Linked DNA regions of Stegostoma tigrinum. The protein of the gene in region 2 purifies or fractionates together with the protein of the main gene of each other region. This does not show direct contact. Links are inferred from orthologs where the notes say so. Each region holds a gene or a part of one and is shown on either strand. Other genes may lie near its edges.

Region 1 (7,041 bases), on a different chromosome or scaffold from region 2:
TTAACCCAGATAATGGCAGCAAATATATGGGAACACTATTATCTGCAATTTCCCATCCAATCCATGCCCCATCCTGACTGGAATATATACCATTTCAGTTCTATTGCTCAGTCAAAATGTTGGAATTCCCTTTCTAACAACACTGCAAGTGTACTTACATTTGTAACAGTTCAAGCAGGCAACATTCACAGTTCTTCCCAAAGTTGATCAGCACAACAACTGTTAGCCTTGCTTGTATTGGAGGCAATTGTCATCATCTAAAATTCTTGAGATCAATTTTAAAATCTAGGAGGTGGTAAAGTGCATTGTTGAAAGATACAACACTTTTCTCCAAGCTTTCATTGAGCTTCACTGGAACAGCATGGACTGCAGAATTAAAGCGACAGGTGATGCTAAGTTCAGAGTCTCATTTCTAAACTGAAAGATTGCATTCCTCAAAAAGTCACCTAATCTGTATTTGGTTTACCAAATGTAAGAGGTATTTTATCAAATGCACAAAATGTAGGTTAAACATCTGAAAGAATAAATCACTGTTCCACTGGCAGAATGTTTTTGGTATCTATAATGTGAAGGGTGGAAGAGGCAGATGTTACATCCCCTATGTTTTTAACAGAACGTGCCATGGGAAGGGGGAGGCAGAATGCAAAGTGAACCTCTGGACTGGAAAAAGGGAAGCATTTGCTGACATTACAAGGAGCAGAAATTGCAGATAAATCTGTTGAATGGGCAGGCTGGAGTTAAGAGGAGTCCTGCTGTAGTACTGGAATGGCTGAGAGGAAACAGACAGATACTGTTTAAGATCCTAACAACCAGAATGAAGGGAAATCCCACAATAGAGGAAGTAATGGTTCAGAGGTGGCATAATCAGAACAGGCAAGCAGCAGCACAGAAGATACAAGAAAGGAAGCAGGATTGTAGGGAGTGTAGTCACGTTGACAGTTAGAGTCTGAGAGAGCACAATAGGAACTGTTTGGTAGCCTATCACCTGAAACAAAACAAAGTAGTTAAGGAACACTGGGAGCTGAAGGGCAGGGAATGGTGGAAACACGAAACAAGGTTGATTGCCTAGAGCTGAAAAATTCAACAGTAGGAAATACCAATTGCACCATCAATACACAGAAATAGATCTGCTGGAGGGGCTCCCTAATTGTACTATAATAAAGAATATGCCACATATCCCATGAAAAGACAGATAGGGGCCATTCTCATGTATGAATACTCATTTTACTTAGGACAAGTCAGTGAAATTGAGGGAAACTAGTACAAAATTGACGAGTGCAGGCAGGCAGAGAGAAGTGTTGGTGAATAGGGACAGATTACTTCTTGTTTGAATGGAGGCCCCACAAGCCCTCTAGCCCCCTCAACTTGTCCCTCAGAACTGGATAGGCGGGTGCTTAGTTGCATTATTCTCCATTAGTGGAAACTGCAAGTGGCTGCGAGCATCAAGAGTCACAAATACAGACATCAGAAGGTCAGACAAAAGGATAAACTGGAATATGAGCTGTGAAAACAAGGAATCAGATGAGTGGAGTAAAAACCAGATGAAACAATAACTGTACGTGGGTGGCCGTAATTGTGGATCTTCAAAAGGGGGCAGAAGATTTTGTGCTGGTTACAACTGCCGATGCTGAAATCAGAGATAACACAGTATGGAACTGGAGGAACACGGCAGGCCAGAATTTTCTGAAGAAGGGTCCTGACCCAAAACATCAGCTTTCCTACTTGATGCTGCCTGGCCTGCCGTGTTCCTCCAGTTCCATACTGTGTTATCAACTTGCAGGGCTGTGGGGGATAGAGTAGGGAAATTATAGTCGCTCAGAGATCCAACATGATTTTGATAGACTGCCTTGCTCCTGTGCCGTGATAACTGAGATCTGATCTGATCTTTCTTTCTTGGTCTCCAGTTTTGTAATTCCCAATCGCACAAAATTCTCTAAGGTAGTGTGGAGCTGGAGGAACACAGTATGGAACTGGAGGAACATGGCAGGACAGAATTTTCTGAAGAAGGGTCCTGACCCAAAACATCAGCTTTCCTACTTGATGCTGCCTGGCCTGCTGTGTTCCTCCAGTTCCATACTGTGTTCCTCCAGCTCCACACTACCTTAGAGAATTTTGTGCGATTAGGAATTACAAAACTGGGGACCAAGAAAGAAAGATCAGATCAGATCTCAGTTATCACGGCACAGGAGCAAGGCAGTCTATCAAAATCATGTTGGATCTCTGAGCGACTATAATTTCCCTACTCTATCCCCCACAGCCCTGCAAGTTGATTTTCCTCAAGTCTTCATGGAACTTCCTTTTGATGTCATCTTTCATTTGAGTACAACATCCTCAAAGGCAGCATTTCCATGACCATAAATTGCATTTCAAAAGTTGCAACTCAAAGCAACACACCCGCACCATTCCTATCGCTAAAACTTTCAACGCATCCCCTGGTTTCTAAACTACCGGGAGCAACTGGCAAATGGTCATTTCGAGGGCCTTCTGTGCTTTGTGTCCTTGGAGAAGTAACCGGGATCCTCCGGGATTGTGGATAAGGGAGGGGTGGTGTCAATAACTGACGAGGGCTACATCCAGGTGAACAGCAGGGTTGGAGATGGAGGCTCGACCAATGAGGAGTCTCAAAATTTAAAACAAAAAGTTCGAGAAAGCACAAAGGACCTCCTACCTACCTGTTTCAAGTCACAAGTTTCCCTGCTGTTACTGCTACTCTCTCTGACTTCAGCCTTTCGAGGGGCAGAACCACTGGCTGCGGCCGCACACTCCCTTCCCTCCATGGTTACTCGGCAGCGTGGGGGAGACGGGCCACTCCGGGCAAAAACATGAACCGGCTTCTTGCCCAGAACGTTCTAGAAGTCATTACCAAACAAGTGGGACAAGAAACGAGGTTAAACGCGGCGCTGTCGAACACAAAGGCGAACGGGAGTGTTTTCCTACCCTCGTGGCGGCAGCAGCCGGGGACGGTCACTACCGGCACCCCCCACCCCCTTGCCCCAAGCAGAGGCGAAGCACCAGTAGTGTCACCAGAAACTTCTGCCGGAAGTGCCGCAATCCAGTTTCCGGCAACGCGCGGAGTTCCGTTAGAAACGGTCAGAGCTCGGAAAAGAGAGGGAGATGGTTGCTTCGTTGCTGACGGCAATCTCTTGTACATTCGTTACACCTATCGCACTTATTGGAGAGGAGGCATCCGCCAGAAGCACCCCAATACACATGCAGGAAAGAAAATGTTTTCATTTTGGCTTTCGCTGCCTGGCGATCTATGCCCCTCACCTCGCCTATCTCAAAGCGTTTTATTCTCTAATCTAACAGAGTGGGGAAAGTTGATTCAGTAGTCATAATGGTGGAGAGAACGTTATATCTGGATTTCGGTGGCAGGTACAAAGCCATATGTCAAACGTATGACGTCTTGTTGAAAGCAACATTTGTTAATTTCAGGGATCAATTCTCTGCAAACAAATGAGTTCAAGTCTTGTACCTTTTCTGAATTACCTGGGCGACGAGGGAACCTGAGCTCCTTGTTTTTTTCCATGGCAACACCCTGGACATCAGAGATGTTTTGCCATATTCCTCCTGTAGCATAAGCTGTTGTCATCATTTGAAGGTTGGCTTTCTTGTGTCGACCCTGGAAATGGAAGACAAAGCGAAACATAAACAGCAAGTCCCGCTGTTCATCAATATTCAAGGTCTTTATAATTTAAAAAAAAGTATGTGATTAATATTATTCCTAATGAATCTCATTTGTTTATTTTGATGCCAGCACATGTTTATCCAAAAGTACTGCAAATGTTTAGAAGTTTGTTTAGCTATGTTCAGAAGTTAATTCCACATTTTACGCAAAAATATATGTATTTCACCAAATGCTTCATTTTGTTCTGAATTTGTAGCATCAAGAAAATAGAAAATTTTATAGTAGTGTTTAAATATTCCTGAAATGTAGTGCAACCCATATAGTGGAAAATACCTATGATTTCAGCGCACAGTTGATCCTTCTGCTCATTTTCACTAAAGGGTAGTATGTTGGTGAGATAAGCATTGGGGTTTAGATGTTCCAGGAATGTTAATATCTGCTATTTCTGTTGAGACGAATAAAAGATACATAACTTTTTAAAAATTCAAAATACATGGCTGATGAAAAACTGCAGCGAAAACAAACTACAGAAAATGATTATGCAATCTGCTGATAATTCAACTATTAAAACAGTAAATGTTGGCAATTATGTAGTTGGTCAGACAGCATTCTCTGTAGAGATTAGTGACCTATCATCAGGACACAATATTTTACAATCATGCTTGAAATTAGTCAGTAATTTGAATTAATCAACACAAATGGAGCAAAATGGGAATTCAGTGATGAAAATGAGAATTAAACATTTAGAATTGAACAAATTTGAATCAAGGGCGAACTACCCTTGATTCATGTATTCAAAATATTTCATGGGAATGCCAAGGATAAAATATTTACTTAATTATTAACATGTATTAAATTGCAGATAAAACAATAAAGAGCTTCTTTGAAAAATAAAGAATCTGTTGCTTTTAAAGAGAGGTGGGCACCTTGGCGGGATACTGTGCTTTATTTCCCTCTCCACCTCCATTTTGGTTTTGTCTCTTCCCTTTCTCCCTACCTCCCATCTTCACTTTTGAGTGTATGTATTGCCCATAATGGGCTTTGCTTGTATATATTTAATTAACTACATGGCAGTTGTGGTGCAATGGTAATGTCCCTATCTCTGAACCAAGAGGCCACAGCTCACGTTCCACTTGTTTCAGAGGTGTGTAAAATCATTGCTGAAAAGGTTGATTAGAAAATATCTAAAGAGTTTGTCAGATGTGCTCTCATAACACAGTGCTAATTTCTCTACTTTTGCACCAGGAGGCCTGGGTTCAAGTCCCACCTGCTCCACAGGTGTGTCATTAACATCTCTGAACAGTTGATTAGGAAAACATAATAAAGGGCCTCTGTTTATATTTTTGCCTGGGTGCCATTGGAGACAGAGCACATAGTGTCCACCAATGTTCCCAATGCCTTTAGAAACAGGTGGTACCCTGAGGGCTTCAGTGCTGTATTTCCCCCTTCCTGTTCTCCCTACCATTCCCTCACTTCTGATGGTTTGCATTGTTCGTGATAGGCTTTGCATGTAAATATCAGATTGGTTGTACAGGTGACTTATTGGTGGTGGTTAGTAGTTGGAAAAATTGTCAGTGATTTGGTGGTGGGAAAATCATTCGATTTTGTGTGTAAGGACACTTCTGGCGATATATATATATTACAAAAGTAGCCTCTATAAATTATGCAAAATCGCAATTATGCAACAGCTTGTTGCATTTTTACTGGGCACTATTTACAAATAGAATGATAGCTCTTACAGGACAGAAGTAGGTCATATGGTCTGATATGTCTTTGTCAATTTTTGAAATAACTTCAATTTAGACACACCAGTTCTTCTGCCAGTAAACCTGAAAATTAATCCAGCACATGTCCGGTTATCTCTTAGAAGTGCTAAAGGGATTTGCTTCCACCACTGTTTCAGGGTGTGCATTTCAGATCCTAACAAGTCTGTAGGTTTTATTCCCCTTTAGACTTTGCGACAATTACTTTAAATCTGTCAGATCTTGTCATTGCTTCACTTGCCTGAGGATCCACATGACTGAGGTTCCTTTTCATTTGTATAATTATGGTTCCATACAAATTGGGAACAGGTAACATTAACATTATACCTTAAACATTGTTTTGGGGGTTTGACCGTACAGTTCTAAAACCCCGTGTGTGTGTGTGTGTGTGGGTTGTACACTAAGGACTTAACTGTGTTAGATCCAGACTGCTCATAATTGTCTTGAGAACTTTTTCGACATATAATTGGAATGTCAATTCAGCCAGATCTTAATTGTTAATCCATTTTGAATGAAGAACTCTGTTAACTTCTCCATCATTAGCTTGGCAGAAATTGTTCTCAAGGAATTAGCATCTGGAAACAAAGCAGTCAAACCATAAAAGTACAGATATACTGGTTTCTCACTCCTGTTTTCAGTAGAAGACACTCACAGTTTACCAGCACCCCAAAGATTGATTACCCAAAAAACAGTACAGGAATTAGTCTGAGATAATGGGAACTGCAGATGCTGGAGAATCCAAGATAACAAAGTGTGAAGCTGGATGAACACAGCAGGCCAAGCAGCATCTCAGGAGCACAAAAGCTGACATTTTGGGCCTAGACGCTTCCTCAGAGAGGAAATTAGTTTTGCTGGTTTCTTTTCAGCTGTGGTTTTCCTACAATCTAGCTATTATGACACATTTTTTAAAAAAAAAAGTTCTTTTGAAGTCCTGGCAAGGGAAATGTCATCTTATTCAGGTTTGGTTTTTCTGGATCCTTACATGTCTTATTTCGGAATTTAATTGGCTATCCTTAATATCTCCTGATGATATTTGAGCAGCATCACTATCTAGTGAACCATCTATCTTCATTCACAGGTCTGTGAGAATGTCTCTATTTCCAAATTAGAATCATATTTTTAATATTCTAGTATTCTGGAAATGCCTCTGCTTAAATTTTGGTTTGTGCTGAATATGCTTCTTAACTCTGGATTGACTTGCTGAACCTTGATCGAAGAAGACTTATAAACATTTTTTTCAGATTATTCAAATCCCCAAAGTTTCAGAAAGCCTAACACCCGTTGCGCCAAATTGGCTTCCAACATTTAAATTTGTTTAGCCATTGTTCAGGTCAGTATACATGAAGGCAAAAATCCTGGAATCTTTTCCTGCAACTGCTTTCTGTTTTTATTGAAGAAGCTACTATGTTACCGCTGGCAAATCATTCCCAAAGTATAATAATGTGTTTACCTATCTCATTTGATAAGGAGCTGCTTTTCTTTTCAACAAGCATTCCCTGTAGCTCTTAGGTAACTAATTCACTTTCCCTGCACCCACAGTAATACTGCTAGTATCTGGCTTCACAACTGCACCCAGAGCCACAACTTGGTCTGTTATACTCATGGTAAGGGTCGTTTTTTCTGCATAAATCTTGAGCACCCCAGTAAGTC
Region 2 (7,144 bases):
AGAGAGTCTGGAACTCACTGTGTGAAAGGGTAGTTGATCCAGGTACTCCTGTAACTTTTAAGCAGTATTTATTCATTAACTGTTCATAATCACTCTCATCTAGAAGGGCAAAGGCAGCAGACACATGGGAGTACCATCACTGACAAGTTCCCCTCCAAGCTACTCACCATCCTGACTTGGAACGTTATCGCTGTTCCCGTCTGTCTTGCTGGAGCTCTTGCAGCTTTAACTGTGCGATTACCTTAGGAACACAGGAATAGGCCATTTGGCCCCTCAAGCCTGTTCTATCATTCAACGAGATTATCCTTCATTTATCCCTCCCCCTTGGTCTATAGAAATGCTTCCTAACATCTCTCCTGAGTGGTCTGACCCGCCATCTCAGCTTATGTACCGTAGTTTTAAAGCCCTGACCCTGTGTAAACATCATATCTTTATCTACCCTGTCTTTTCCTGTGGGTATCTTGAAGATTTTGATTAGATCACCCCTTAACAGTTTAAATTCTAGACAAAACAGAGTTAATTTGTAAAACGTCTCCTTGTTGCTTAAACCCTGAAGTCCGGGTATCATTCATGTAAATCTTACACTCCCTCCAAGGCCATTATATCCTTCCTACAATGTGGTGCCTAGATCTGTTCAGAGTACTCCAAGTGCGGTCTAATCAGACTTTGGTTTGACTTCAGCATAAATTCTGCATCCTCAAACTCCTGTACTCCAGACATAAATGTCAGCATTCCTGTTGCTTTTTTGATTATTTTCTGCACCTGTTCAAGATATGCACCTGAGCACCCCCCCCCCCCCCCCCCCCCGGTCTCTTTGGACATCCACTGTAGTTAATTTCATACAGTCTAGAAAGTACCCTGATCCATCTATGGGTGGCATGGCTATACAATGGTTAGTACCACTACCTCACAGCACCAGGGATCCTGGTTTGATTCCAGCTTCAGGTGACTGTCTGTGTGGAGTTTGCGTATTCTGTCCTTGTCTGCGTGGGTTTCCACTGGGTGCTCCAGTTTCTTCTCACAGTCCAAAGATGTGCAGGTTAGGGTGGATTGGCTGTGCTAAATAGCTCGTGGTGTCCAGGACGACACAGTATGGAGCTGGAGGAAAACAGCAGGTCAGGCAGCATCAGAAGAGCAGGAAAGTTGATGTTTTGGGTGTGGACCCTTCTTCAGAACTGGGGAGTGGGAAGGAAGCTGGGAAATACATAGAGGGAGGAGGGTTGGGGCTGGGGAAAGGTAGGTGGGATGGTGATAGGTGAATGCAGGTAGGGAGTAGTGGGGTTTGGTCAGTGAGGTGGGTAGGGTGGATAGATGGGAGAGAAGATGGACAGGTTATTGTCAAGTCAAGGAGGCAGGAGGGAGGATAGGTAGGGCTGGGGAAGGTAGGTGGGGTGGTGATAGGTGGATGCAGATGGGGGTAGTGGGGATTGGTTGGTGGGAAGTGTAGGGAGAATGGGTGGGCAGGTTGTATCAGGTCCATGGAGGTGGGGATGAGAGGGGAGGGTTGGACATGGGATGAGGCCAGGGTAGGGGAGATTTTAAAACTGGTGAATTCCATGTCTAAGCCATTAGGCTGTAGGCTTCTGATGTGGAATATGAGGTGCTGCTCCACCAGTTTCCGGGTGGCGTCATTGTGACATTGGAGGAGGCCCAGGATGGACATGTGATCGAGGGAGTGGGAGGGGGACTTAAAATGGTTCATGACTGGAAGGTTTTATCATTTGTCACGTACAGAGTGCAGGTACTCCTCGAGTCTGCGCTTGGCCTCACTGATGTAGAGGAGGCTACATCGGGAACATCAGATACAGTAGACCAAGTTGGAGGATGTACAGGTGAACCCCTATTGGATATGAAAAGTTTGCTTTGGGTCTTGGATGGAGGTGAGGGGGGAGGTTTAGAGGCAGGTGTAGCACTTCCTGTAGTAGCAGGGAAAGATGGTGGGGCTAATGGGGAGTTTGGAGTGGATGAGGGAGTTGCAGAATGAGCAGTCTCTACTAAGGGCACAAGATATGGGGAGGGAAATATCTCTTTGGTCTTGGAATCGAATTGTAGGTGGCAGAAGTTGTGGGGAATGATGCTTTGCATGCAAAGGTTGGTGGGGTGATGTGTGAGGAACAGAAGGATGCTGTCTTTATTTTGTTGGGAGGAGGGGGTTTGAGGGCAGAAGTGTGGGAATGGCAAGAGATGTGGTTGAGGGCATTTTTGATCACTGGAAAGGGCAAGTTGCTGTCCTTGAAGTAGAAGGACATCTGAGATGTCCAGGAGAGGAACGTCGCATCTTGAGAGCAGATGCGGCAGAGACGGAGGAATTGGGAGTATGGGATCGCAATATTGCGGGGGGGAAGGGGTTGGTGAGAGGAGGTGCAGTCCTGGTAGCTATGGAGTTGATGGGTTTGAAATAGATGTCAGTGTTGAGGCGGTTACCAGAGGTGGAAATGGAGAGGTCCAGGAAGCGGATGGAGGTAACAGAGATGGTTTAAGTGAATTTGAGGTTGGCTGGAAGGTGTTAGCAAAGTTGATGAGCTGTTCAAGCTCTTAGTGGAACACTATCTGCATAGTGTCTGGGAATGTGTAGGCTAGATGGGTTAGCCATGCTAAATTTGGGATTATGGGGTGGGGGGGGGTGTTCTGGCTGGAATATTGTTTGGAGGGTTGGTGCAGATTTGATGGGCTGAAATGGACTTGATTTTCTGCACAGTGGGGATTCTACGTTTCTATCCCTTTTTGGTCAAAAATGGATAACCCTACTCTTATAATGAACTCCATCCGCCACAGTTTATCAATATTCCTTTGTAATTTAATGCTGTTGTCTATGCTGTCCACAATGCCACCTAGTTTGTGTCATCATCAAATTTGGATATGACTTTCAATGCTATTGTTTAAGTCATTAATAAATAATGTAAATAATCGAGGCCTAAACATAGGTCCTTCTGGGACATCACTGGTTAAATGCTGTCAAATTGAGTGTCTACGCATAACCTCTACATTTTGTCACCTGCCACTCAGCCAATTTCCTGGCCATATCAGTAATTTGACCTCCGTTCCCTAAGCTTCTTCCTCTTCACCTCCTCCACCATGCTATAACATGCCTTCTCCACACAGATTGCAGAGTTTCCAGAAAACAATTCATCATATCTCTTTTATGACTATTTACAGATGGGCAATAAATGCTGGTTTGGCCAGCAACACCCACACACTGTTAATGAATAAGCAAAAAAAAGGTTTAATTACTTGGCAAAGATCATGACACATAGCACCAGAAGCAGAACATTTGCTTCTTCTCTGTTGCACCATTCAATAAGATTGTAATTGATCTGATAATCCTCAAGTCTACTTTCCTGCCCTATTTCGTAACCCTTGATTCCCCTTCTGCCCCCTCAGCTTTGAACATACCAACCCAACATCAACAGTCCTCTGCGGGAATTAAAATACTGTCTGACAGAAGAAATTCCTCATCTCTGTATTCAATGGAAGATCTCTTACTCTTGCCTTTGGTCCTGACTGTCACACAAGGGGAAACAACCTCTCAACACATACCCTGTCAAATCACCTCAGAATCTTATGTTTTTCATTAAGGTTTTTGTCATTGTTCTGAAGTCCAATAGGTACAGTCCCAACACAATCTCTTCTCATAATATCAGTTATCAACTTTGTTTGTATGGCGAGAAAGTAAAATATTTAGATGAGCACACAGGCTAAGTGCAGCAAAATAGGATTAGAATAGGTAGATATGATGAGTTCATGGCCTTTATTTGAGTTGTTAAAAACTCCATTGCTTTGTAATTTGGAGCATCAAAGTCCAGTGTCTCCCTATTGTTTATAATAAAAATAACTGATGATTTGAAACAAAAACAGAAACTGTTGAAGAAACACCATTTCTGGCACCATTTGTGGACAGAAAACAAGGCTTTACGTTTTAGTTTCATTGAACCTCCCTGCCTCTGGCTTCAGTGAGATAAAGGCCTGAGGGGGCTGGTGGGTTTCAAAGATGGCGGCGCTCAGATGGCAACACACGCAGCCAGTTGCCCCGCAGTGGCGTCACGTCCGGCACCCTGACGCCACAAGGCAACCGTGGCGCAACGTCCGGCAAGATGGTGGCGCCCATGGGCTGAATGCGCTGGAAGAATCTGGAAAGGTGGAGAAGCTTCGGTGCGGTCGGCAGCGGCAGGAGGTGGCTGCACGGCCGGGAAGGTGACCGGGCCAAGAGGTCGTGGAGATCGGGGTAAGTGACCTCTCCCTGTCCGGTAACAGTGCATTGAAACGGGATTGGGAGCCTGTGGAGGTTTAAGGGAGAGCAGGATGTGGGGTGTGCGACCATTTCGAGGCGTCTTGTTGACTTGGGGGGGACGGTGGGTGAGGAAACGATTCCTCTCAGTATGGGCCTGGTTTTTGGAGCGGAGCAGAGCGCCATTTCTGCGGCGAACCCCTCCCCCCTTTCCCTGGGGATGGTTTCTGACCGAAACCTCAACTCCGTCTCTTTCCCCACAGATGACACCAGCCCTGCTGAGCTTTTCCAGTTTCGGGCTCTCAGCGTCCGCAGTCCGTTATTTCAGGCACAGTGCGTCTCCACACTGACCTCGTTGATCAGGAGCATCAAAGCAGCACGTTGCTGTCTCTGCATTGAGGATCGTTCTTATTGAATCCGAATGGGTTTCGTTTTGGCAAGGAGGGTGATATGTAACATTTGGAAGCCTTGTTGAGGCCATACATGTAATGTGAACACGGGTGGTCCATAAGGCAGTCGTCTTTCCTAAGGACGGAGAGGTATTCTTAATCTGTTCAGACATGATATAACCCCTCTGGAGGAGTGGGAGTTGATCCTGGGCTTCAAGAGCATTTTCCTCCTTATCCCCACGGAGGGATATATTTTACAGCTTTTTGTAGCTTTTAGGCTATAAACTGAAGTCGGGAAAAGGGACCTTGTGCTCACAGGCATATCATCCACAATCTTGCTGAATGGCAGTGCAGGTTTGAGAGGCTACTTTTCTTTCTTAGGCAGCTGTCCCATTCCTAGTGGCTGTGTATAGCAAGTGGCTGAGAAATGTACACTTGTGCGATAGTCGTAGTGTCCCTGTGGACCAGGAGGCATGGTTCAACACTCGTTTGCTTTAGAAGTGTGTAATAACATCTCTGAACAGGTTGATTTGAAATTATATAACAATTGTTTGCGGTTGGTCTGAACAGATGACTTTTTTTCTGAAATCGAAATAGTTTTTTTACCCTAATATTCTGGTTGGGTTCTACCCTTGAGATGCTAAAGACCCAGGCAAAACAGATGAAACTCATGATGAATTTGTACAAGGGATTCAGAGAGGCAGGTTCAATGTTGAATGAATAATTGGAACTGAACTGGGAAGAACCAATAGAACAAATTCTGAGAAACAGGGGCCTTGCATTTAAAATTGAAGGATGTTCTGTTTTAAAGTGTTTAAGATGTTAAAAATAATTAGGATCGATAGAGAGCAGCTGTCTTTGGGGGAAAACAGGGACAAAGCTCAGTGGTTGTGTATTTTTTGCCTTGTGGGCCAAATTTCCTTGTGAAATCACGGTCTGTGCTTCCACCAATCTCATAGGCAGTGAGTTCCACATCATTACCCCTCAAAACAGAAAAAATAGTTTATTTCTCAAATTTACTTTGCATCGCTTACCTGAAACCTTTAATTGGTGCCCCTTCATCTTTATAAAATCAGCTGATGAGAACAGCTCCTCTTTTTCCACCTTACTTGTTATAATTTTGTACTCTTTCATCAAAATTTTCCTTGATTATCTTTGATAGTTTGTTTAGCTTAGGCGTATGGCCCAAAAAGCTACTAAAATCATTTCAATTCCTCCATTAGAGCAAATCTTTATTTGATGTTTTCTGTAGCTTGGGTAGCCCTGAGTTATGTCTTGCCTCTTGAAGATGCATTTTTAACTGCCAGGATTCTATGCGTATGTCAAAATGTGGAAACAAAATGTAGGCACATAGTATTTTTTAAAAAAATATTTTGTAGGATGTGTGTGTTGCTGGCAAGGCCATCACTTATTGCCCATTCTGAATTTCATTTGAGTTCGTGCTGGTGAGCGGCTGCCTTAAATTGCTGTAATCCACTTGGTATTGGGAAGGGAATTCCAGGATATTGAACCAGCCACAGTGAAAGAATGCAGATATGATTCCAAGTCAGGACAGTGTGTGGCTTAAAATGAGCTTGCAGGTGGTGGTGCTCCTTTGCCTCAGCTGCCTTTGTCATGCAAGGTGCTGGGGATTGTGGTTTAGGTGGGTGATGCCGAAGGTACCAAAATGAGTAGCTGTATCATCTTGTAGGAGGTGAGTGGTTACACTAGTGGATGGGGCACCACCATCTGGTCGATGATGATCTTTTCAAGTGTAATTGGAATTGCATTTGTGTTTGAAAGAATAGAATAGACCTTTCTGTCACATATACTCAACATGGAGAGTGAAAAATTTATACATTGCCAATTACAGCACTGACTTAGATACAAAAGTACCTTGTAACAAAAAAACTGTGCCAAGATTTTAGATAATACTGAAAAGAGTTCAGTACAGCAGACCACACTGGCACTTAGCTTCCAGTATGCACTGGGCTCTGGCTCCACACTGCGCTGGCGACACGCTGCATTGGGAAGTCGCAGCAGGAGGCCCCACAGGACAAGACTGCTGTGCCAGGCTGGGAGTTTGCTATGCTGCATGAGCTCGAAACATTGCAGTGCCAGGCGGCGAGGTCCCTATGTTAGGAGGTCACCATGCTATGCCAGGGGGCCCATACAGGAGGAAGTTACCTCGCCAGTGCTGGGAGTTTGCCAGGCTGGGGAATGTCGCTCCTTGCAGACGCCAGGAGTCAAAGCAAAAAAAAAAGAAGAAAAGAAGCACTAGGAGGAGAAAAGAAGAGCAGGTGGAGTGGACGAGCATCCTACTTTGCCATCTTGCAACAGCAAAAAAAAGTGGACAGTATTCTGTCACACTCCAGGTGGTGCACAGATTTTGAGGAGTTGAGAGATGCGTTATTTACCTTTGAATCTTTAGCTGCTGGGTTGCTGTTGTGGCCACAGTATTTGAATGGCTGGTCCAATTCAGTCTCTGATCAGAGGTTAATACCCCACATCACCCTGCCCTCTCTTGACTGGTGTGCAGTATGAATGTTGA

Evidence for each region. The genes of interacting proteins can lie anywhere in the genome.
Region 1: the proteins of hspbp1 (region 2) and edrf1 purify together in Homo sapiens (affinity purification with mass spectrometry; 3 studies listed by BioGRID and IntAct, counting the BioPlex papers as one, with this or other methods). This does not show direct contact. The link is inferred for Stegostoma tigrinum from reciprocal best matches to the Homo sapiens genes HSPBP1 and EDRF1.

The regions. Positions count from the first base shown.
Region 1 is NC_081373.1:31,646,750-31,653,790, reverse strand, and holds the start of edrf1 (erythroid differentiation-related factor 1), read right to left. Parts: upstream 3,038-7,041; 5' UTR 2,778-3,037; coding exon 2,673-2,777; intron 1-2,672. UniProt on the Homo sapiens protein: Transcription factor involved in erythroid differentiation. Involved in transcriptional activation of the globin gene.
Region 2 is NC_081391.1:14,492,774-14,499,917, forward strand, and holds the start of hspbp1 (hsp70-binding protein 1), read left to right. Parts: upstream 1-4,065; 5' UTR 4,066-4,222; intron 4,223-7,144. UniProt on the Homo sapiens protein: Inhibits HSPA1A chaperone activity by changing the conformation of the ATP-binding domain of HSPA1A and interfering with ATP binding. Interferes with ubiquitination mediated by STUB1 and inhibits chaperone-assisted degradation of immature CFTR.